Drosophila melanogaster: one gene and its partners. The protein of the gene in region 2 interacts with the protein of the main gene of each other region in a pairwise test. Each region holds a gene or a part of one and is shown on either strand. Other genes may lie near its edges.

Evidence for each region. Proteins that work in one complex are often made in the same cells at the same time.
Region 1: the proteins of CG6180 (region 2) and CG10026 interact in a two-hybrid assay, tested with the Drosophila melanogaster proteins (one large-scale study listed by BioGRID).
Region 3: the proteins of CG6180 (region 2) and CG12355 interact in a two-hybrid assay, tested with the Drosophila melanogaster proteins (one large-scale study listed by BioGRID).

The regions. Positions count from the first base shown.
Region 1 is NT_033779.5:19,451,123-19,459,584, reverse strand, and holds CG10026 (uncharacterized protein), read right to left. Parts: upstream 3,908-8,462; 5' UTR 3,405-3,907; coding exon 3,402-3,404; intron 3,177-3,401; coding exon 3,017-3,176; intron 2,956-3,016; coding exon 2,861-2,955; intron 2,762-2,860; coding exon 2,417-2,761; intron 2,358-2,416; coding exon 2,179-2,357; intron 2,110-2,178; coding exon 1,992-2,109; 3' UTR 1,862-1,991; downstream 1-1,861. Other genes in the region: Top2 (topoisomerase 2), read left to right, coding at 7,300-7,857, 7,915-8,338, 8,405-8,462.
Region 2 is NT_033779.5:12,705,711-12,713,226, reverse strand, and holds CG6180 (uncharacterized protein), read right to left. Parts: upstream 5,567-7,516; 5' UTR 5,457-5,566; coding exon 4,683-5,456; 3' UTR 4,547-4,682; downstream 1-4,546. Other genes in the region: CG5787 (uncharacterized protein), read left to right, coding at 921-2,865, 3,002-3,852, 3,918-3,974; CG15484 (uncharacterized protein), read left to right, coding at 5,698-6,318; spict (spichthyin), read right to left, coding at 6,780-7,516.
Region 3 is NT_037436.4:15,491,103-15,499,954, forward strand, and holds CG12355 (uncharacterized protein), read right to left. Parts: upstream 4,448-8,852; 5' UTR 4,137-4,447; intron 3,903-4,136; exon of another isoform or gene 3,801-3,902; 5' UTR 3,790-3,800; coding exon 3,658-3,789; intron 3,557-3,657; coding exon 3,465-3,556; intron 3,176-3,464; exon of another isoform or gene 2,838-3,175; intron 2,480-2,837; coding exon 2,367-2,479; intron 2,229-2,366; coding exon 1,951-2,228; 3' UTR 1,862-1,950; downstream 1-1,861. Other genes in the region: CG13455 (uncharacterized protein), read left to right, coding at 5,613-6,172, 6,241-6,814; CG7276 (uncharacterized protein), read left to right, coding at 7,144-7,659; CG7275 (uncharacterized protein), read left to right, coding at 7,958-8,027, 8,080-8,794, 8,851-8,852.

The DNA of each region.
Region 1 (8,462 bases), 6.7 Mb from region 2:
GGTCACCCTTGCCAGCTCATTAGGAAGCAATTATCCGTTTAGGGTTGCAAACATATCTTCTGGGAGAGAGGGAAAAATTGAGGTCAGGTACACTGTCAACGGATGTCAACGACTGTCAGTTTGACACTGCCTTCGGTGACAGTTGACAGCCGGGGAACGCCCTCAAATGTGTCTCCTGGATAATATGGCCAATTTCGGAAGTGAGATGCGGAAGCAGATGAGTTCGAATTGAGGAAGTTCTTTGGGGAATTTGGCTTTCTGCATGTCTACGGAATAATAAATCGGAGGTTATTTCAAGAGTAAATTGAGTTCAGAGCATACTAATAGAAGAGACACACAATGACACTAATTAGAAATCAAACAAGTACCAACTATGGTTCCCTTTAAAGTTAATAATCCAGCGAACTATCTAAGTGGTTTTAAATGGTTTTGGATACTCGTTTGCTCAATTTGTAATGACTTTCCTTTAGTTACTGGTCAAAAAGATTTCTGTCGTCCTCGGAATGATATATTTATGTGTATCTCGAAATCCCCAAGACATTGGCTACTTAAAAGACAGCACATGTTGAAGAAAACGAATCCTTTGCCCCTTCTGACCGCCTTCTTTGTTTTTCAATAAAACTCGAATAAATTCAGTTTGCCAGCCATAAATTATGTCCAGCTCGGTTTCGCCTCACACACGTGTTGCCAGAAGCCAGAAGCCAAAAGCCGAAATGCCAAAAAGCCAACTAATAACGCGCATCGGTCGTGCCCCCCAAATGTAGGCTATGCGATGTGTGTTTTTTGTCCGAATGTTTTTTCCGTTCTGACTGCCACTGTGTTACTGTCCCCCCATAAATATTTGCGCAATAAATTTTTTAATCTTGTCGCTTTAATCGCACAAATGTCGCTGTCCTTTATACGCACTCACACAGCTGTCCAGCACGCACACAGATTATGGCCACCCCCATCCCCACAATCGAGCCACATACACATAATACGCATAATGCCAACCTAGACCCCCGGTAGCACCGAAATCAATTTCACTATCGTTGACCAAACGGAAAAGCAAGGCCATTGCGGAGAATAGAGGGGGCAGGATTCTGACTTTGGACACCCTGCACTTGGACGAAAAAAATTTGTGAAGCAATATACTTTTAACCGAAAGCAAACATTTAATTATATATACTTAATTTCAGTTTATATATAGTATATGCTCTAAACTCTGAAGCTTTGGGTGTAACCATATATAAATTTCTAAATCTTAACCATGAAACCTAATTGACAATACAGAGTAACTTTAAGTCGAGAAAGTAATTCTTTACCGTTTTTTACGCAGACGGCAATGACTTCCGGGGGTCGGAGGATAGCGTTGAGACAACGGGATTCAATAAAAAATATCAAACATATTCGCAACGGTCAGATGGAGGAATCGAAATCTCCAGCACCCTCCTTCTGTTCGTCGAGCTCGATCTCCCCTCTCGCTCACATCCGGTGACAGGACGAGTGCAAACATATTTATGGCTACCGACTGCATTTTATGCGTTGTCCAACACTCAATTACCATAACGGCGAATGGTCGTGTGGCCAGTTGTCTCGCTCTAGCACCTAACGCATTTTGCATACGAATCGCATAAAACTCAAAGGACCAATATGCTATACATCCTAACCGAAACGAATGTTTTGCGGGCTAGCCGGGCCATTTGATTCGGTTAGGAACAAATTATTATTGCCTTTTGCCCCGAATTTGGTCGTGATAGCCGATGGGTCATTGATGTGACCGCCAAATGTATGAAGCATTACGGTTTATGCCGCTTCTAACCTCAAATTGTTGGGAACGAAACTCAAATGAATTGTTTGGTGAGTAATATTGCGTAGAAGTAATTTTCGAAATTCTTTAATATTTAAAATATCACCTACTTTGCTTCAATTGATTCTGGTATCATTACTTAACATATATGTAGTACAAAAATACAAGTATCAAGCATATCATTTTAAACAAGGCATGAAGCCTAGTCAAAGATGAATCCCAATTGCTCCATATCCTTTTGGATACTATTGCCCGAACACTGCTCCTTCAGCATATCCAACCAGAGCGTATAAGAGTAGTCCTCGTGCAAGCCACCATAGCTGAAATAGTATAAGTTTAATTATATCTGACTAATTATTTTAATAAAAAAAAAAAACCATTTTACTTACCGCTTGGGAAGATGTTCTGGGTTGATGTGTTTGTGCAGGGAAGTCATGTCACTGCCATGGATGTATAGCTTTTCTCGCATAGCGGCGTTGAGGAAAGGTTTAAATATCTTGAATGCCGCGTTGAAGACCCAATTCTGATTTACAATATGAAGGGCGGATGTTCTAATGGGCATGGAGGTCTGCAAGCCAAGTGTAGGTTAAAAAAGCTATTGAAAATAATAAAAAGTAGTTATCCTACCACTAGTAGAGCAATCATCTTCTGAGCCACGCTGGGACTCAGGTGGAGTATGTGTTCCAAGCCCAGGTCCTTCAGATCGAATATTCCCACTCCTCCGACAATCTGTGAGATGGGTTCCAGGCTGCCCAGTTCCTGCAGGACAATGGTGGCGCGAAATATATCGTCGACGGTTACTTGATTGGGTCGCCACAGTCCGAATCGGTAGATGAGTATCCTATGGCCATGTTGATCCCGATAGGGAGTCACTGTCAGGATGTCCGATTGCCCAACATGTCTCAGGTCCAGAGGACGAACCTTCTCATAAAAGCTTTTGTTCTGCTCCCGAAACCTGTAGTAACTGCAGAGCTGAAAGGGAATGAGTTATTGCATTTACCTAATAGATAATTATCAAATAGTCACTTGCTGTTGGCAAACTAAAATGAAGATTTCCCCAAGTTTTCTTACCAATTTGTAACTGTTCTCGATTTTCCAGTAGCGGGCTCTTAGGAATTTCTCCAGGTACTTCGCATCACTTCTGTGTGGTTGGCATTCATTATGTTCTGGAGAGGTTTTGTTCAGATGAATACCTTTGTACCTCTTAGACAACGGACTATAACCAACCTAGTATGTAGTTACGGAATTGTTCGATGACCTTATCCTTGGAACTGGGACACTCTCCCTGCTCCTGGGCAAGTCGGCGGATGTGCTCCGGAACCTCCTCCTCGGTGATGTTTAGCTTGTGCTCGATGGTGGGCATGGTGCGGCATCCACTGCTGGTCGTCTAAAAAAAGCCCAAACTATAGATACAATGTGGCCATAAGGGGGTGGTGCATTGATAAGCGCTTTTCACTCGCGCAAAATGTAAATAAAAATAAATCCAGTTGAGAATAGCGCAATATGACTGTTCCCGATTGTTTCGTTGTTAGCAACATTTCGCCACCCGTATTGACATTTAAATTTCAGAGAGATTTGGCATGTCACTGCTGGATGAATTTCTCGTTGTTACCATTTATGGGCTGTGATCCGCTCGACTCCAAGTGTGAAACTGAGCCCCCGATCGGAACCAGAATCGGGCCAAGTGGTGACAGTCCCAGGCGAAATGCTGTTTTACTTGTCGCTAAACATGTACGAGTGTGTATGCGACCATTAAATATTAACTAGAAACCGAACAACAATGAACATTGCGATAGCGCGAAGGAGACAGCCGATGAGTGATAACAGTGTGTCACTGAGCTCGAGCTAAATTTAGTGAATCTGCTGTACTTAATTGATGGAGCGGGAATCCACAAGAATTATAAACAATATAGTATAAGTAAAGTGTTGTGCAATTACTCAGTTTTGGCTGCACTTAGTTTTTAGAAACATTGCCTTTGGGTTGGTTGTTTCCAGCAATCAATACATTAGGTAGGTACACTTTCAAAACAATGTATGCAAAATGAAATCATTAAAATTTTTAAAATCATTTAAAATATATTAATATAATATAATAATATATATATATATAATATAAATATATACTAATTGGGGGTTAGTACCGATTGTTACATTGCTAGCTTAATCTTGGAATTGCATAGTGTTCAGCATCAGCCCCAAAATATGTGCTCTTGTTAGGTGTACCTCGACCTGGCCTTGGCCGGATTTCCCAATTCCTATCCCTACACCCCAAAACGCAGAGCCAGACCCAAACTTGCCCCCAGTGAACCCCGCGATTGTAGAGGAGCCACTGCCTGATAAGGCATTATCCGCCGCGTTCCCAGTTCGCCAATGGCTAATCGGGTCGCTTGGGGTCTGTGCGGTGCAGCGTTGTGTGAGTTCGACGCGTATTTGGCAGATACTGTGAGATGATGCCACCGCGATCTCAAAGTGCAGCACACACAAATTTCACACGTGGTGGCCGTGCAAAGTGCCTGGGTCAATATTTAATCATATTCAACAAATTCCAACTAATTACACATTATGCACTTTTAAGTACGCCTGATTGCAGTGCTTAAGTCCCAGCACATACATACTCGTAGTTCGGTTCAAGTGTTAATGAACTCGCCATTGTTGTCGTTAATTGTCTACATGGATTTGATAATCCCAAGATAATCACAATAATAGTGCCCCCCATTAGGGTGTTTGATAATAAGCGATTATTTCACAGCCCCACCTGCACCTTTAAACACCTGTTTAAATCGCCCCATTAGCTCGGGGTCTTCACTTTCATTACCAGGTAATAATCCAATCCGAGTGGCGGTTACTGTTTCTGGTCACGGTTTCTATTTTTTCCAGCTTGCAGTACGGGGAATCCGACTTAACGAAGATCGCACACAAGTGGCATCGCAGAAGCTTGGAATGAAACTGAGCTGGGGATCGCTTAGAACAGAAGATTTTATGAACACAAGTCTCAATGGAAAAAGTCGAGAAAAAGCGCAGCACTTATGACTATAAACCAGTATGCGAGAACGAGAAACCAGCATCTGAAAATAGGGAGAGCCAGCTCGATGAAACGACGATGCAAACACCCTTAAAAACGCAATTAAGTAAAATTTGTTGATTAACAATACATATACATACAATTTATTCAAAAAAAAAAAAAAGAAACTAATTGCTAATTGTAGTACTTATGTTTATCTTTTTATCTTACCAAATCTTAGGAGTTTTAGCTCACATCTTGTTCAACTTGCTAATAGTATCCTGGAATAAACTGCACTTAACTCCGCTAGTTCACAATTTTCCCATGCATCAGCTGAAATTCCCAATTTGGCAGGGTACAAACTGCACTCCGCATATTGAGAGATCTTTGCTGATGCTTGTCAAACGAGAATCAACAGATTTGGAGGAGTAGAGAATATTTCTGGACGATATTCGATGCTGTGCAAGTTCAATGAGCTCCGGTGACGTCACTGCGTGAAGGGTTCTCCATTACCCAAGCAGAAATTCCGAGTAACTCGGATGAATCCAGAATCTTTATATTTTGTTTGCACTATTCAAAACATGTTTCTGAGCCGGAATGAAAATCGCAACGGGATGGGGAGGGACATGCCCCTTTATGACGTCGTGTTGGGCAAGGTCAGGCAAAATGGCAGAAAGAAAACCAGTTCTCTTGTAGCCATGGTCTTGGCTTTGGAATATTCATATTACCAGGTGGTTAATTGAAAAGCAATCTTCACTTCAACGGTGCGAAATTTAATTGCACAAATGCAACTTTAGCAGCAATTTTTCATTTCATTTCATTTTAAGTAATTGCTGTATATCACATTGATGTGGGATACAATACTAAGCATATGAAAGGATAAATTTCTTAATGGTTTTACTTTGTCTTAAATTTTTGATAATTTGCATTTAGATCGAAATATTTTATCTTTTTTACATTTATTTCAATGCCGATTTATAATGTAAAAAATAGAAGAAATGTTAGTTGGAATAATTAAAACCCCTACTTTCGACTCGAAAAAGAATTTAACCCCAAAAATGTTATTATTATTTATTACCTTCGAATTTTTTAGAATTAACTGTTGCTTAACTCATCACGTGATTGAGATAGAACTAAAAAACCGTGATTTTGGCGATCACGCTTTTAGCGGAGTCACCGACCGCAGTTACTAGTTTAGCCCTGTTCACAATGAGCGTATGCACCAACCCAAACAACACTGTTATGGGACTTATCGATAGCGATTTCATTCAAACATCGATTTGTGCGCCTTGCCAGCTCTAAAACCAGCAATACTTCTCATTTGTTGTCGGTTGTGAAAAGTTGTTAAATGTGCTGTGCGTATTTTAATAGTTAGTTGAGAACTGTACAAGTTTTAGCTAAAGGCAGCAGACGCGTGGGGCACGTACAAGTCGAAAATTGTAGTGCACCGCCTCGTGTATCGCCTGCAACATAGAGTTTTGCCGCACTTCGGTTGTCGGCGGCAGCAAGAAAAGGCCACAAATACTTGGCAATTTTTTAACCAGGTAAGCAGAAAGTGCTGAATCATAATCGTAGAATTGGCTGTACCGTAGAACCTAAGAGCCCTGTCTAATTAATCCTTTAATATGATGGATATAGCAATTTTTCGGTGGCGTCGCTTGCAAATTAAAAATGGCGATACCGGTATAGACATTTAGCTAATTTTGGGCCTTTAAAAACCATAGTTTTTTGATTTTGTAGCGCGGAGCGCGTATGTAGGCCTGAATTTGTTTACTATAAAGTGAAACCCCTCGAAGAACCTTAATAAGAAATAATAAATAGCGGTGACTACCGGCAAACGCCAATAAACACGCACACTCACGCAACAGACGGCGCACGCCAAGCGTTGCCGCCAAAGAGACAGGGCTGTTATGTATTTCAAAGTGTGCTGAAAATCTGTTCCCAGTACAGTAGCACCAGGCAAAATAATACTTAGTTTGACGTTTTTCAATTTATCTGCAGTTATTTCTGTTTGACGTACCCAACCATTTCCCATGTTGGCCAAGTCCCATTCCATTGCAGCGTTTGTCTGGACGGCATTTACGCAATGCGCGGGCGCGCGTTTTGTTTTTTTTTTTCACCGTGGGTACAGTGCGCATTCATTAATAAAAAATTGTTGAACAGCAGCATCAGCAGCATTGGCATCACATGCCAACGCACAACCATCCCCGTTATTAAGAGGCCATTAAACATATTGGGTGCCATCTATCTTATTTGGTATTATAACAATTAAAAAAAAAACGTGAACATAATATTACTAATATACTAATAGCAACTGTTAACTGGGTGGGTACTGTAGTCTTCTGCTAGTAGCTTTGGTTTTTTTTTTACTTAGTAGAACGCAGGACGAGTGATTAATAGTAGCTAAGGCAATGGCTCGGAATATTAGTTATTAATATTAATATTACATTAACAAATGCCTTTTGCTTACTCTTTGAAGATTCAGCTAAAGCACAGCGACAGAAGCATCATGGAGAACGGAAACAAGGCCCTGTCCATCGAACAGATGTACCAGAAGAAGTCGCAGCTGGAGCACATCCTGCTGCGACCCGACTCGTACATCGGATCCGTGGAGTTCACCAAGGAGCTGATGTGGGTGTATGACAACTCCCAAAACCGCATGGTGCAGAAGGAGATCTCTTTCGTGCCCGGCCTCTACAAGATATTCGACGAGATTCTTGTGAATGCGGCAGATAACAAGCAGCGAGACAAGAGCATGAACACCATTAAGATCGACATCGATCCGGAGCGCAATATGGTGTCCGTGTGGAACAACGGCCAGGGCATTCCGGTGACCATGCACAAGGAGCAGAAGATGTACGTTCCAACGATGATCTTTGGTCATCTGCTGACCTCGTCGAACTACAACGACGATGAGAAGAAGGTCACTGGCGGCAGGAACGGATACGGAGCGAAGCTCTGCAACATATTCTCCACCAGCTTCACCGTTGAGACTGCCACGAGGGAATACAAGAAAAGTTTCAAGCAGACTTGGGGAAACAACATGGGAAAAGCCTCCGATGTGCAGGTAAGGAAATAACATTTCTTATTTTAGACCATCATCTAATGTTCAGTAAACCCACAGATCAAGGACTTCAATGGCACTGACTACACACGCATCACATTCAGTCCCGATCTGGCCAAGTTCAAGATGGACCGTCTCGATGAAGATATTGTGGCTCTAATGTCGCGTCGCGCCTACGATGTGGCCGCCTCATCCAAGGGAGTATCCGTCTTCTTAAACGGCAACAAACTGGGTGTACGCAACTTCAAGGACTATATTGATTTGCACATCAAGAACACGGACGACGATTCTGGCCCACCGATCAAGATAGTCCACGAGGTTGCCAACGAGCGTTGGGAGGTGGCTTGCTGTCCTTCAGATCGAGGCTTCCAACAGGTCTCGTTTGTCAACTCGATAGCTACCTACAAGGGCGGTCGGCATGTGGACCATGTGGTAGACAATCTCATTAAGCAGCTGCTCGAGGTTCTGAAGAAAAAGAACAAAGGTACGTTTAACTTAAAATGTGTATTTTCTTAAACAACAACTAATATTTGCTTTGAACCTCTTCCAGGTGGCATCAACATCAAGCCATTCCAGGTCCGAAACCATCTGTGGGTTTTTGTCAACTG
Region 2 (7,516 bases):
TTTTCTATATATTCAAATGATATCATATATTGACTGCGAAAGAAAAAAACATCATATTTTATTAAGTTGTTTATATCTTTTTAAGTTTCAATAAAAAAAATTTTGCTTGTTAATTTTTAAGTTTATATTACTTACACACTGACAAATGTGCTGCGCTTATTTTGTCAAAATACTTATGCCGACTAGTGTAGATTAAAAAGCGGTTTCGAGGCAACAGCTAGCTTATATTTAACTTTCATAGATTTTTGTAATGTTTTTTTTTTTTGTTGGTTTTCCTGGTTTGACTTTCGTGCTCATGTTTTATTCTACATTTTTCAAAAGAATTTGTGATTCAATATTTTCAGGTTGTGTGTTTTCTTTGGTAGTGAAAGTGTAAGTATGTATGTAATATAATATAATACTTAATACAACCAATTCATTAGTAAATATTACTATAAAATATAGCTCTTTAATTAACTACGATAGTAGTGAAAAGAAATTATACAGTAAGCTTCTTCTCTATAAATATCTTGCTAAAGAAATTTTTTGGAAGATGGCTTTCAGAATATTACCGAATCAAAACCGAAATTATACATTTGTCAAATGTTGTTTATAACAAATCACATTTGACATAATGCTTAAAATATAAATAAATAATAATTTATTGCAAGGTATTCCTAACTAATTCAATAGCGGTATTTTTCTATCACGCTCAGTATTTTTCAATAAAAATACCAACTTCGAATCGGACTTATTACCATTTTGAGCAGCCGGCTTTCATTGCTTTGCAACCCTGGCACCAGACAGTGAAAAATTCGGGGAAAGGAAAGCATTTTTTGTGCCGCGTTTGTTGTGTTGGAAAAAATCGCAGAGAAGCCAGTTAATTGGAAGCAGCGGCGAGTGCTCGACGTAAAGGTAAATCCGGGCAAGGACTATTCGGAATGGACTACCGCCAAATGAAGAACGACGCTTACGGCATTGGCCAGCGGCGCGGAATGGGGAGCTCCAGCGGCGTTGGTGGTGGTGGAGGAGGCGGCGGCGGCGGGATGTATTCCTCAAACTACGGCGGAGGCGGTAGCGGCGCCAACTTCGGCGGAGGCGGCAATACCAGTGGCAGAGGAGGCTACGGTGGCACTTTCGGTGGCGGAGGCTACGGCGTCAACCGGAATACCAGCCCAGATGGTGGCAACTTCAGTCGCGGCGGTGGCAACTACAGCAACAACAGCAACAGTGGCGGCAACAACAGCTACCCACGTTCCGGAGACGGAGATCGGAGCGGTTTCAATCCGAGCAGCAACCAGCGTTTCGGCGATAATTTCCAGGACAAATTTCGTGGCGGGCCGTCCTCCAATTTCGGCCAAGCGAACAGGGGAGCATCCAATCAGAGCAACGTAGCCCGCTTGCTGGAGGTGGAGAACCGTATGGACTGCAATCCAGATGTCAACTATCGAGGTCCCCAGCCGCAGGGAAGCGGCGATAGGTTTTTCAACGATGAACCCAGAAATCAGGGATCATTCGGTAATTTCGTTCCCAACGATGGAGTGCCATTTGGCGGCAACAATGCTCCCTCTTTTGGTGGAAACAATGGACCCGCTTATGGGGGCAATAGTGGACCTTCCTTTGGAGGAAGCGATGTCCCTTTTGGTGGAAACAGTGGTCCTTCGTTTGGAGGAAACAATCAACGCAACTTCAACAATGACAATTTCCCAAACAGAGGTCCTAACTATGATGACCAGCGTTCCGGTTTCAATGATTCCTACGGACGCAGTGGAAATCACGGCAACTTTGGCCAGAACTCTGGAAACTTTGGGGACAACAATAGGGATATAGGAAACTTTAACAACCGCGGACCGGCTGTCGGAGGATCCGGAGGCCCAGGCTTTAACCCGAACTCTGGTGGCAACTTTGGCAGCAATAATTCCGGAGGCGGCTTTAGCAACAACTTTGGCCAGAACTCTGGAAACTTTGGGGACAACAATAGGGATATTGGAAACTTTAACAACCGCGGACCGGCTGTCGGAGGATCCGGAGGCCCAGGTTTTAAACCGAACTCTGGTGGTAACTTTGGCAACAATAATTCCGGAGGCGGCTTTAGCAACAACATTAGTCGCACCTTCCAAGACTCTCGCAACAACTGGAACAAATCACAATCATCATCGTTCCAGAACTCTGGCTATCAATCGAACAGTGGTGGTGGTGGCGGAGGTGGAGGAAGAAGCGGCGGTGGTGGAGGAGGCGGTGCCGGCGGCGGAGGAGGAGTAGGTTCCGGTGGCTCTGGATGGGAAGCTGGTCAGCGCGCCTTCAACTCGAAGCGCAATCAGCTGCAGAAGATGAATCTGAACAACAGCGGATCTGTTCGAAAGCCAGCTCCACAGCCAGCCGCTAAGGCGGTCCAGAACTTGCGCAACAATCCTCAGAAGGCTGAAATCGTCAAAAGCGCAGGTGCGCCCACTCTGCGCAACAACAAGACCGCCAACCTGCGTCCGGGCAATGCGACTGGAGTACAGAAAAAGCTGCCCGTTGCAGCACCAAATCAGTATAAAGTCAATAACGTAACACCCAATTCGAAAACGGTCTCGGTTACCAACAAGAAGCCACCGGTGGCCGCACCAGCCGTGAAGACCGGACCGCAGGCAAACAGGACAGGACCACAGGGATTAAGAACTGGACCACAGGGATTAAGAGCTGGACCACAGGGATTGAGATCTGGACCACAGGGCTTGAGAACTGGACAACAGGGCTTGAAAACTGGACCACAGCTGCAGAAGTCGGGACCACTGGCACCTAGAACTGGCCAGCAGGCAGTGAAAGGTGGACCACAAGGAGGCAAACCAGCAGGAGTGCCCAGTAGGCCGCCAAACGCTCCTGGATTCCCCGTCCAAATTAGTAAGATTCAGTTCTATTTCGTAAGGTTGCATTACAAAACTTTCTTCTAACTATTCCAATTCATTTAGTAGAGTTTTGCAAAGCAACTAGGAATAGTTTTACCATACACAAGTTCCTAATATGTTATGCATTGCAGGTCAGAAGCGTGTTGCCCCACCTCCACCGCTGGAAACGGAGGCTGCCTCCAAGTCGGTCAAGAAATGGCGACGCGTGGCACGCAAGCGCGGTTTCCTTATTGGCGGATTCAAGATTCCCTATCTCAACGATCAGCCGAAGAAGCTCCCACAGCCGGAGGCGGACTCATATGCCTTGACCTTCTTCGAACAAACCTTCAATTACAGTACAAACCAGGACGCCACCGAGGAGGACTTCGTAGAGGCGGCCGTAGTGCTCAACGAAGATTCGGAAGACGAATCGGTGGCCGACGACGCCAAGTCGGCTCGCAAGATTGCAAAGCGCAACAGGAAACGCATACGGTCCGATTGGGCACCGCTTAACGAATCGAAGAAATATAATGATTGGGGCAACTGGTGGAAGGACTACAAGAATGTTGGCGAGGAGATCGACCAGCAACTGTTGGAGTGTGGGAACTTGAATCTAGAGCATTGCTTCCTACCCAATCTGCCCAAGCTAACCACAGAGCAGGTGGTTTACGCTATCATAAAGTCGGCACACTTTGGTCTCGAGAAGAATGCCGACGTGCCGTACGACACAATGAAGACGATCTTTACGTTGATGAACCGCACCTTCCTGGATAACCTTACGGAGTTGAACATGGTGGAAATACAGGACATTATTCGCGGCATACCCAATGACCTGTGGGTTTACAAGTTGCGCAGCATGGTCTTCCTGTGGGCCAAGTACAAGGCCATTACCAATTCCAAGTCCACCGCCGAGGACGACGTCAAGGATCAGCAGGCGATTGCGCGCGAATGGAAGAGTCCATGCTTCCACTGGCTGGCCAAACAGGCTTTCGACGAGCTAGTGGTAAGTTGGTAACATAGTCATGCAGCCTATTTCATACTAACTAACTCCGACCTTGCTTTTTATAGGCAATCAGCGAAACCGAATGGAAAGACCATCGCACTGTCTTTCCCTCTATAGAGTAAAGTAATTTGGAAACTAGACACCTCCCCTCCTTCTCAACAGCCGAATATGCACTGGACCCATCAAAGGAGGAAATAGAGCGTGGGTTCTTCTTCAGCATTATTTTATGGATTGTATGAGTCTGCATCTAGTTGTATTAGAGACCTTTATTATTGCACACATGAAGAACCATCCTCTTGACTTTAAGAAGTAGATTGTAATTATGTCGCAATGCTTTTACAAATAAATAACTTACCCAGATGGGCGTCTCTTGCGCCCTGGGAAATAACTATAATACTGATCAGAAACGTTCTTCCTATTTGGAAGGTCCGATAGCAATTATGTCTTGTATCTTCAAAGCATGTATTTTGGCGAGATATAAACTCAAGTTCATGAAATCTGTATGTATACAAATGACGCTAGAAGAATCCTATTGATAAAGAAGTAGATTGTAATTGGAATGAATAATAAATACATAACCAGCACAGAAACTGTTTTGCCTCAGCAAAGGGTAACCGAATTATTACTTCAGACAAATTAACAAGATAAGATATGAAAATATTGAAAATGTGTAATAAGATACAGTGGCTTAGTTAATATGTCTTTAACAATTTTATTGCCAGCAACAGAGGGTTTCACAGAGTGTTCATAGGTGTCTTTAATTTCTAGGTTACAATAGATTTGAATCCAATTCAGACTGGCTTATATAAGCATGGTTTTTGGCGTAGAAACTAAGCGCCCAGCTGCTTGTAGAGGATGGGCACATAGTCGTCGTACTCAGCCTGGTAGAGGTTACCGGCAATGGGATTGCCGAGGGCGTACTTCTTGGCGAACTCGGCGATTTTGAAGCCACCGCGTCCATCTCCGCTGTTATTGGGCAGTCGCTTCTCGTCGAATGTGAGCTTGCACCGCTGCTCGTAGATCAGGAAAACGTAACGATGGAGTCCGGTGTCTGGTGGAGGCCCGGATCCCACGTAGGCGGAGAGAACCTCGCCCTTGGCGACATCTCCACCGGGTATGTTGCCCACCAGCCAATGGTGCCACTCCCTAAACTTGGGATCCTTGCGACTGGGCGCATCCGGATCGGTCATGCAGAGGGTGTACAGCTTATTGGCGTCCGCCTCCCATTTCACGCACGGCTCATCCTTCACCTGGGTGGGGGTCAGGACCTGACCCGGCTTCACGACAATATCGCCGGGATATTCCACCACAGCTGTCTGCGCCGGTGCCTTGGCGATCACATCCGGAACTACGCAGTGCTCCTCCATTGTTTTGCCTACTTTTTCGCAAGAATACTGCCGCTGAGATGCGATAAATGCAAAGATTGGTTTCGGTTCCTTGGTTAGGATAGAATTGCTAAAAGTTTTCAGCGTTCTAATGGCGGCCGGAAAGTTGACAGCTGAATAATTGACATTCACACCGGTTGATCGGATGTAATCTTTTCTAAATCCATTTAAAGCGCTGCGATTGAGATTACGCAACACCCGGAGCCGCATACAAATCATCCTTATTGCTTAAGTAAACCAAATTGGATTAATTAAAAAACTGTTTATTGTTCTATTTGCCGACTGACAATCGATAAGTTGCGATTCACCTGTAAGCGTTTAAACGTTTTTATCGCTATCGATAGGAATGTGTGATTTTGAATTTCTAATCTTCGAAAATATTTGCGCAGTCTACTTGAGAAAAGCATTTCCGGGAAATGAAAATAAGGCTGTGAGAATACTATAAGCAACTGAAATCATCATGGCTTGGGTTCCCACATCACGATTCGAGCACGATCTGGTGCAGTTGGAGCCGCACTTTAATCTGGTCCATGGACAGATCGCCTATGAACTGAGGAAGAAAGAGGAATTCTCAGAATCCGTTCCCATTCATACCTATGAGCTTTTGACAGCCCGCGAGGATCTGCTTGGATATGGCACGCGGGGTGGAAAGGGCCGAGAGATTCGTCAAAGTCTGCAAATGATGGAGACGATTCAGAGAGTAGCTGGCACCAAGCCGCTGGGAGAGCACGCCACAATGGAGGACTGGGAGGACACCACAATGGTGGACGTGGAGGCGATTGCCATCATCCGGAACTTCGGAAGAATGACCCTGAAACAGGACTCACTGACACTCCAGCCGCAGATCAGCTTACCTGCGGTTGCTCCAAATGAAAGCCAGCGATTTCCTTTAATCACAGATCGCGACTTCTTCACGCCACGAAAGATTCGTAGACCAAAGGATCTTCCGCCAGTGGAGAACAGTCCGGATAACTCAGCCGATGACTCATTTCACACCGCTAAAAGTCTGAGCAACTGCATCTGGCTGAACGGATTAAAATATCCAGATAAGACCAGCAAGGGCGAAATTCAGAATACATAGATACTTCATTAAATTACTAACTAACAAACCTTGAAAATAACTTGAAGATTTATTTTACTAAATCCGATTGAGCATGTACTCACATTATTTGCAATGAATATTGTCGTTCGATTTGGAACGACCTACATTTACCAATGTAGTAGAATATTTTAATGGTTTTTTTTTAGTAATACATAGATACGAATATCATATCAAAAATCAAAAAATAAAACTACAATTACAAATCGTTTTCATTAAGTCGTGTTTAATATATGTAAGTGTAACCTAAACCTATGTGCTTATGCTAGCGAATGTATGAATAACAAGAGTGAAGGAACAATAAATGGAAATGATGAGATGAAAGTGATTGCAGGTGATATGCACAGATATTTGGACCAATGCCTCGTTTACGGAGTAAAGCAACCTTGTCTTCAGGTCAGCCGCTGCAAGGGATGTAACTAGACCTGGTAGCGCTGCTTGTGTCAGGCCTTCCGGAAGATGTCGCTGGATCCGTAGGACAGCCGCCGTTCCTTGGTATTGCTGGTGACCAGCACCTCCTCGTCGAACTGCGACACCCGCTGCATTTTCGGTCGCATCAGTCCACGTACATCGTTCAGCGATATATCAATATCTCTGAACGCGTTGAGCAGGAACACAGCTGTGATAACGATCAGGAAGCCGCACACATCGCCGAGAATATCATCGAACCGCATGTGGGTGAACTCCTTGAAGAGGATGGCAGACGCAGCTATCACCAGGGTGGTGAACATTACATAGTACACTGGAGTAACTATACTAGTATTGAATATATCCAGCGCCTTGTTCAGATAGTTCATCTGGATGGCTATGAAAGTGACGGTGACCAGGATCAGGAACCATGGCATCCATGTGAGGAAGACGTTGCCTCCGTTATTCAGCGTCTGCCGTATGGCTAGGCCCAATGCCTTGCAGGACATCACAGTCAGAGATCCGATGCCGGAGCACAAGAAGATATAAACTACCACATTGGTGTGCCCATGCCGTGGTGCAATGAAGCAGGCCACAAACACCGTGGAACCGACGATGCAGATCACGTACAGAATGAAAACCGGATCCAAAAGCATATCGAATAGCAGCTGCAAATCCTCGATCTCCTTCTCTTTGGGCGAGTGAATCACAATGATGGTGGATCCCAGTATGCACAGAAAGCAGCCGATCTTCCCCAGCAAGTTTAGCTTCT
Region 3 (8,852 bases), on a different chromosome or scaffold from region 2:
GTAAGTTAAATGATGTTTGCATAATCGCAATAATTTTAAGATAATTTCTAATATTCACGCAAGATAAGCTAGGATTGAATTCTAAATATATTAATCCCAAATAAACGTGTTTGAAACTAAATTATTAGTTAATTTTTAAAGTAAACTACAGATTAGTGTGCATATTAAAATTTTTAGAAAACAGTTTTGAATTCTTGGTTAACCGCAAATACCCTTAATTTCTGTAGCGGACCAAGAAAGCACCCGAAAATCTGCCCAGAACGAGTAGATGAAGTAAATAGTCCCTGGCCCCGGCTCCACACACAAATATAAAGTAGGAAAAGCAGTTTTCAGCTGGTCAGCAGGCTGTCGAAAATAAAAGTAAAACAAAGTGGGGCGGCGTTGAAGGGGCGAGGCGGTCTACGGTATAAAGCGAAAAGACGACGAAATACTTTTTCAAGATAAACGGAAACAAGCCAAGATGGAATTAATTTTCCGCTTTGAACAAACAAGCGGATGTAAATAAAAAAAAAAAAGAAACACACACAAAAAACGAACCAAGAACCAGCAGCAGCAACCTAGAGAATCCAGCGAAGACGTCAAAGTCAAAGGAGTGGGAAAAGGACCTTTGCAGGCGGTCCAAAAGGAAGTAGACGCATTTCTGGCCAAGTCGAGTTCTTGGGAAATGGGAACTAAGAGGGTCGGTTTGAACTGGAGCTACGATGTCTGCCAAGTTTAGCAAATTCAGCCTGGACACAGGCTGGGCCAACGTTATGTGCTGTTAATGAGTGCACAAGAAGTTTAATTGTAAGACTGCCTACACAGCGAAAAATGGGTGCTGGTAACTTCATAGAATGTAAGCTATATAAAACTCAGAGTGTATTGAATTTGGAGTTATTGATATATCTTATTCGTAGGGATACTATTTGCCCTTAAAACAAGATATAGATATAATATAATACTACTTCATTAACGTACATATTTTGAGGACATGTTTAATTTTGTTTAGCTTGCTATCAAATGCTTTATATTACTACGATTTCTTTCAGTGCAAATGGAAAACTGTGAGGAAAAACAAGGAGGTGGCCTCAGATGGGCGTGCGGTAACTACAACACACACGCATATTGACAAATTGCAATTTAAATAGACAACAATAAGTTAAACAGACGCACACACTCAACGCATTAACATGGGGCGGATATCGAAGGGAGTTGGCAGCCGAAACACGCCACGTCTAATTAGTTTTGCTGGGTGCTCCGTAAGCTCGTGGGTCAGGGGTCATGGGCATCAGTCGGCCGAGATGGTAGAGATGAGCAATAATTAGGCAAAAAGTTAATGCGATCGGGGAATTACAATGCATTTAGCCACGGATAGCTGCCATTGAACAAGAGACATAAATTAGGGAACAATATCTAATGTAAATGTTAAGGCAAAACCCACTTAAACATACAAAAGCTCTTATAAGTGACGAAACCTGATTACTACTATGGATAGCAGTGCACGTAGTGACGAAGCGCACCTGGTTATGTTTGAACCAAAAACAGGGATAATTTTAAAAAATTGAATTTTTTGTTATATGTCACATAAATTTTGGTTTAGGGAGTTCAGTGCACGGAGTCCAGCGGGATACGCAGGATAGTTCTTTATTGTTTGAGTGTGGCAAATGTTGATGGAAACATTTACGCACACACGCACACAATTTAACGCGCTTACACACGCTGATAAACAGCAGACACACACACACACACACAAGCTCGCACTCACAGAAATAGATGAATAGAGGGTAAGTAGTAATTGATGAGTTTCCGTTTATGGGAACATCAATCATACGCACTGTATACGAACGCTTTGCAATCAGGTTAAATAAATAAGTCTACCACACTATTTGCTTCTCCTTTATTTGGCAATGCATGGTCAAAAACTATCTAGGACTATATACATGGTTATGGTGTATGGTGTATATTCAAATCTCATGTTTCGGAATTCCTTATGGCAGCTGCATTATTATTTGAATCAGTTGCAATTTCTTTCGTTGCGACTGGAAGACTTTGCCGCTTGGTCCAACATAGAATATTCACCCAAATCAATCCACAAATACCCATATAGATGACACGGAATCGGGGTGCAACCAGGGAAAAGTTCAAGGCCTGCGCGGGCAACCAGAAAATGCAGGAACGCATAAAAGTCGGCACGAATTTTTCGCGGAGTTCCAGGAAAATATCCGCAGAGCCCTCCATGATGGACATGCCTGGAAATAGAAATTAGTTTGTTAATTGTCAAATAACAGAGAACATGTGTTAAGCGTACAAAAATAAACATGAAAATGTATTATTAATTTAATATACATTAATTAATCTTTACATTTGAGTGTATCAGTGGAACTTACCTGCATAAAACACAGTCAATAGATAAGGCGTTAGTACAAACTGATCAAGCACTAATTTTTTAACTATGATAACCTTAGTGGTGCCAGGAAAAGCGCGATCTAACCATTTGTACCTAGGAAATTGATTATTTGAATTATTATGCTTGATATATATGCTTGATTATATTTAAGACATCAAAGTAAAAGCTAAAGCAGGCTAGGTAAGCAAGATCTTTTTTTGGTGTATATATAGTGCTTTTGGAGTTACTTTATATAGTGTGTTTGCATATTTGTAATCAATTTATGGTGTTAGTATTTATTTATGTGTAAGTGTTTCATACATTGTGTATGTGTTTGTGATATGTATTTATAATATTCCGAGATCTTTATTCCCTATGTTTGTATATCCTTGTGTGCATCTTGTTTTCTTTTGTAAGTTTTGTTTTTCGAATCCAGATCCCCAGTAGCCAACTTCCAACTTCCCAAACTTACGTTGCATTTTGACTTTTATGTCGTGCAAATATGCCCAATTTCTCAGTGCGTTGCGTGCTTTTCTGGGCAGCTTTTCCCTCTCACTCAATTAAAGAGGAAAAGCTTGGTGCTCTGGTGGCGTGGGTGCTTCTAAAGAGAAAGTGTGAAGAGAAAGTGATAAAAATGGCGGAGAGACATGCTCTTGACTTGCGACACGTGCTCATGGAGCTTTACCGGAATCGTAAACAAATTGATAAAAGTCAAAAACAACAACAGAAGCGTACGGCGAAGCAAATTGAGGAAATAAAAAGAATGGTTAAATGGCAAGCATGTAAGTGTGAGTAAATTGAATGGTCCACAGATGTGTTAGTATGAACAGCCTCGGCCAACGTAATAGCTCCGATTTATATACTAATATTTTAAGTTGACTGTTTTTGCTCTAAAGTGTCGTTTTTTAGTCATAACATAAAATCAGAAATTTAGAAATAAGAAATTATAATGAAAAGTTATAGATTTCATGATAAACAGATTGTATTAGAAATCAAACAAAAAAGCAGAGCTACTATGTCGACCATCACTGTGTACATGTGCAAGTAATAATAAAATGTGGCTATGTATGTACAGATTCATAAAACTGAGGGCACGAACCAAAGGTAAAGTGTTGGGGCATATACTGCAGTACCCATCACGGCATATCTTCCTATTGTTGCATAATCGATATCCTCAGGTTTGCTCGCCGTCTACGGGGCACATAAATAGGATTAGAAATCGCCAGATCGCCCTCGGATATATCTCCAAGCTCATATTCTGCACATGAGTGTCTGTAAATGATTTTACTTACGGCCAACCAGCGTTTGGATGCGAATTGCTGGGAATACTCGGCGCCCACATAAAGGCTCCCATAGATGGCGCTGTTGGTGACGAATGGATATCGATGGAACAAATTGCGAACTCCCGAAATTAACCGAGCCATTATCTTAATTGCTTGAATTTTGATTAATATTAATAACAAATTTTTTGTGACAACTTTCTAATGAATTTTTTTTGGAAGCGGCCAGCCGCCAGCGCTAACGGAGCTTTACTGAGGAAAATTCCAAGCGATGGCTCAGCTGTTACAAAAGACAATAAGTGAAAAGAAGAGAGCCAAAAGAGAAAGACGGGCAGCTAAGAGAAAATAAAAATGTTTACGTTTTTTGAATGCAAACAAGAGCGTGGAGTAAATCTTTCTTGTTTAATAAAAGCTTACAAATGCAGTTACCTAAGCGATATCTTAGACGGCCTTATCAGTCTTCACAGATTAGATTTAATTCTATTACTTACTTCCAGCATTTTTAATAATAATTCATCAACGAAATTTAAGGAAGTGTAATTTTAAAATAATTTGGTAGGCCATTGAATAATGGGAATTGCTTAACAAGCTCGAAACAATGTTAAAAAATAGAAACTATCAGGAAATTGTGATGATGGGCATCCAAGGAACCCAGATAAGAGCTGCGGCTGAGTCTTCCAACACTCCATTGAAATCGCTGAATGGATTTAAAGATGTGAAATAAGCATATCCAAAAAAAAATATTTCATTTTTGATTAGGATTTATATTTGGGTTGATTTGACGAATTTTACGGCGACTATTAGTTTTTTATAAACTCTTACAAACTCAAAAGCAACCATTGTACAAAATATTTTCCACTTCCTTTCAAAAAGCGGTTCAGTCTGGATTAAAAGAACGAATATTCATATTTTATTATAAATTATGAAATATATAAACTATAAAATCGGATTATTATATCCGGTAGCTGTCATAGTAGCAGTCGGAAAATTAAGTGAACCTCGTATAATTAATTGTCAATAGCAGCGATACTATAACCTTTGTATATCTAGTTAAATCTAGTTAATATGCTGCAATTTACTACAATAAATTTTTTTACTTGGTGCAAAAACATCATCAAGGATTTTACTGAAACCCATGACGTAAAGGCAACTCTCGAGTATTCTCCACAATCTTTACCGATTGCAAAATTGCCTCAATCAAGTTTACAATACGTATGTATCGCTCTTAATCAAGGATACATGCAACTCTCTATGTCAGCAAAACCAAAAAATGGAAAAACTGAGGAAAAAACAACAAAAGTTTGGCCCATAAAAATGCAATAAGTGTATCAAGTCTTGGCAACCCTTTTTGGCTAATGGCAATTTACGCACGACTAACAAACACCAGAGGAAAGCTGTGAAGGCAGTTGGGAAAAGTCGGGAAAAGCCTTCAGAACATATGCGAGGGAATGAAATCGGTGGCGGAGTAACGACAACTTTGATTGAGTGCCGGGAAAACTGAAGGCAAAGGTGTTAAAACTGAAAGCAATTTAAAAAGTTGTGCGATACCATATGGAAAGTGAGCCCGGAAGGCAGCAACTTTCGGATAGCTGTTGGTATACTCGGAAAAATCTAAGAAAAGCTTCAGAAACCAATAAGAAGAAATTTACATAATTTAATTTGTTTAAATTGTAGTAAATATTGCTATATTCATAATAGAAACCACAACTTTTTGACTTCCTGCTGTTTAATTAGAAGTCTAAACATTGATAGAGAATCAATTCTACAAAAAAGCTAATATCTTAAAAGCATCTAAAAGTATCTGTTTTTATATTTATTTATTGTAGTGTACCGAGCACAAGTAGGCAGTCATTTAGTGACAAACAAGCCGAGCACACAGCGCAGCACACACCTGAGTACTTTTACAGTCAGGTGACAAGACGGAGACATCGACGACGACAGCGACACGAGGTGGGAAAGGACCAAGGATGAACCTGAGCACCCTTCTGAGGAGTGTGAGCAACGGTCTTGGCTTCGGAACCGTCACGAGAAAGAGCGACTTGGGTCGTCCCCTGGCCCCTCTTAGCTCCACGTCGAGCTCGTCTTCAAATAATTCAAATTTGGATCCCGTTTCCAGTCTCTTACTTCCCTCGGAGGACGAAGAGGACGAGCCCATATCACTGGGCGAAAATCATCTGGCCTCAACTGATGCCAGCCTGAACAAAAACCAGGAGCCCAATCCCTACCAGCAGACCGTCCAACAGATACTGCGACTAGTGAATGAACTGGAGCACACAATTCACGAGGATCGGCAGCAGGAGTTCAAGCTCCGAATGGCCCTCGATCGGCAGACAGAACGGGTTCAGGAACTGGTGTTTTCACTGGACACGGAAAGGAAGCGAAACGAGCGACTGGTGCAGTTGCTCCGGGGAATCGATAGCTCCAGTTCGAGTGAGAGCGATCCGGAGAAGAGGGGCCCCAGTGGCTCCCATGTGAACTCCATTGGTGAGCTGTACGACTCCATCAGTCCACTGCTGATGCAACAGCGGTAAGTTTTCAACAATATTAGAAAAGGGTATACATATGTAGGCACTAAGTATTCTGGCGCATTTTCAGTTACGTTGAGCTCTCCGTGTCCCATCGCCAAAGTCGTCGGCAGTTAGCCAAGAGGGAAAAGGCTCTCAAGGTACTTCAAAGCAAAACGGAGCAGCTGCACTCCAAATACGACGAGCTATTCGATGAGTACCGGAGTGAACAGCGCCGTTTCGAGATGCTGTGCACTCGCTATATTCAAATGCAGTTGAAGAAGAAACAGCAAATCTTCAATCTAAAGAATACACTCGGTCAGGCTAGCGAGTGTATATTCCATGCCCAGGTGGTCATCGATGAGTGTTGTCATGCGGAGAAGTCGCCCATTTCTCCGGAGAATCTGGAGATCTTTCGCAGGAATCTAGAGTGCTTTATGGATGCGCTCAGGAACTGCTGCTGCCTGCGAAAAGTCCACGAGCTTCAGCAGCAGCAGCGCAAAAAGGAGGAAATGGAAAAGTGTCAGAACCAGAATCCAGTCGATGACTTGCTCACACCGAAGGCCAGGGAACGCTCAAGTCAAGAGCAGAGTAGTGACACCTACATTCAGAATCTCTCCAATCGACATCCTCGTATTCGACGTTACAGGCATTCAGCTCGTTAAATCTTCACTTTTGGTTACTACTTAACGTTAGGTTAACTTTGAAATATTTTAACTAGAAAAAATTGGGTCATTTAGACAATGGAAAGTGTAAAAAAAAATAACAAAAATATGTTTATGCGAAATAAAAAACTAACAAAACAATAGATTTTTTTATAATTGCAAAAAAGGTTAAAAAGCGAAAATTGAACTTATTATTTACCAATCACTGTGTTTTCTTTGGAAAACTAGATGGCCATGAAAAATTTGTTCTGTCTGATTATTTCTCTTAACTTATTGCAATCGAAGTTTATCTGGAATTTGAACGAAACACAGATAAAAATATCGCAAAAATGTCGACACAAAGACCCAAAACCTTGTCGACTGCAAAGGAGTCCTTTCGAGCGTCCGCGGTCAGCGCAGACAGCCGATCCGAGGTAATGTCCCACAGTGACTCGGATGAAGAATGGGAGCCTGGGAATGAGGATAAGCCGGCATCTGATGTCACCATCTATAACTACTACAACATGGGACCAGCATTCGGCAAGAAGTTCCCATTGCCGTACATTCGCTTGATGATAGCCCAGGTGGTCAAGGAGAAGCTGGCAAACAAGACCTATAATCAATCGGAAGCCCTTAAATGGACCCGCGAAGTCGCCGATGACATAAACATTAAGATGAAGGGACGCGGCTCTTCTCCAAGATTCAAGCACGTTGTGAACGTAATGCTTTACCAGCAGACCGGAGCCGGATGTTTCTACGGAGCTCGCGCCATTTGGGATGAGCTGTCCGATGACTACATAACCTTCACCTTTGATGGTGGCAGTTTTATCTGCATTGCTGCCGTTTTTGGTTGCTATCAGTACTAGGTTGATGTACAATTAATCAAATATAAGAAATTTTTTAGTATTATGCATTTGCATAAAATGAACGTGAACTGTGTTGCATTTGATTGATCATACAACACTCAGAAGAATTCCCTCCAAAATTTCAAATTTCAGTGTTACCCTATTGGTTTTGCATTAGTGTTACCACACCCACTACTCAACACAATCAGCTGACAGCCGCTCTGTATGGCAACACTGTAGCACGCACATGTTGTTTATGTTCGAAACTCACGATTAATTTTATTTTACGCCGCAGAAAAGCTTAATAAATGCAATCAGGATGAAGGTGAAAATGATTAGTCGCAATCCGGATAACTATGTCCGAGAAACCAAACTGCAACAGCACAAAAGTAAGTTCATATACGAAGAAAGACCAAAGTATTATAAGAATGCCACTTTCAGTGCCCAGGAACTACGATCCTTCGCTGCATCCTTTGGAGGGTCCCAGGGAATACGTGCGTGCCCTGAATGCCACCAAGTTGGATCGAGTATTTGCCAAACCCTTCGTCTGCAATTTGAGCGGGCATCGCGATGGAGTCTCCTGCTTCGGAAAGCATCCCAAGCAACTTTCCACCTTGGCCACCGGCGCCTATGACGGCGAAGTGCGCATTTGGGACTTGGCGAATCGTATCAGCTCTCGGAACTTTGTGGCCCACGACGGTTTCGTTCGCGGCATTGCTTACACCCAGAACGGAGGTCGCATTTTCACCGTGGGAGATGATAAAACCATCAAGGTTTGGAAAGCAGAGGCTCCGGAAGTCGGCGAGGATGAGGTGCCGGTGAACACTATACTGAGTAAATTTGGACTGCACGGCATCTCGCACAATCGCAGGGATAACAAGTTCGCCACCTGTGGCGAGGTATGCGCCATTTGGGACGAAAGGCACAACGATCCTTTGAAGACATTGAAGTGGGGCGTCGATACCCTTCACACCATATCCTATAACCCCGTGGAAACAAGCATCCTGGCGTGCTGTGCCAGCGATCGCAGCATTATCCTGTACGATCAGAGAGAGGCGCAGCCACTAAGGAAGGTCGTCCTAACCATGAAGAGCAACAAGCTCGCGTGGAATCCCATGGAGGCGTTCAACTTCACAGTGGCCAACGAGGATTGCAAGTGAGTAAAACGGCCATACGAAGAGGATGTGTTGCTAAAATCTTTATTTCTTACAGCC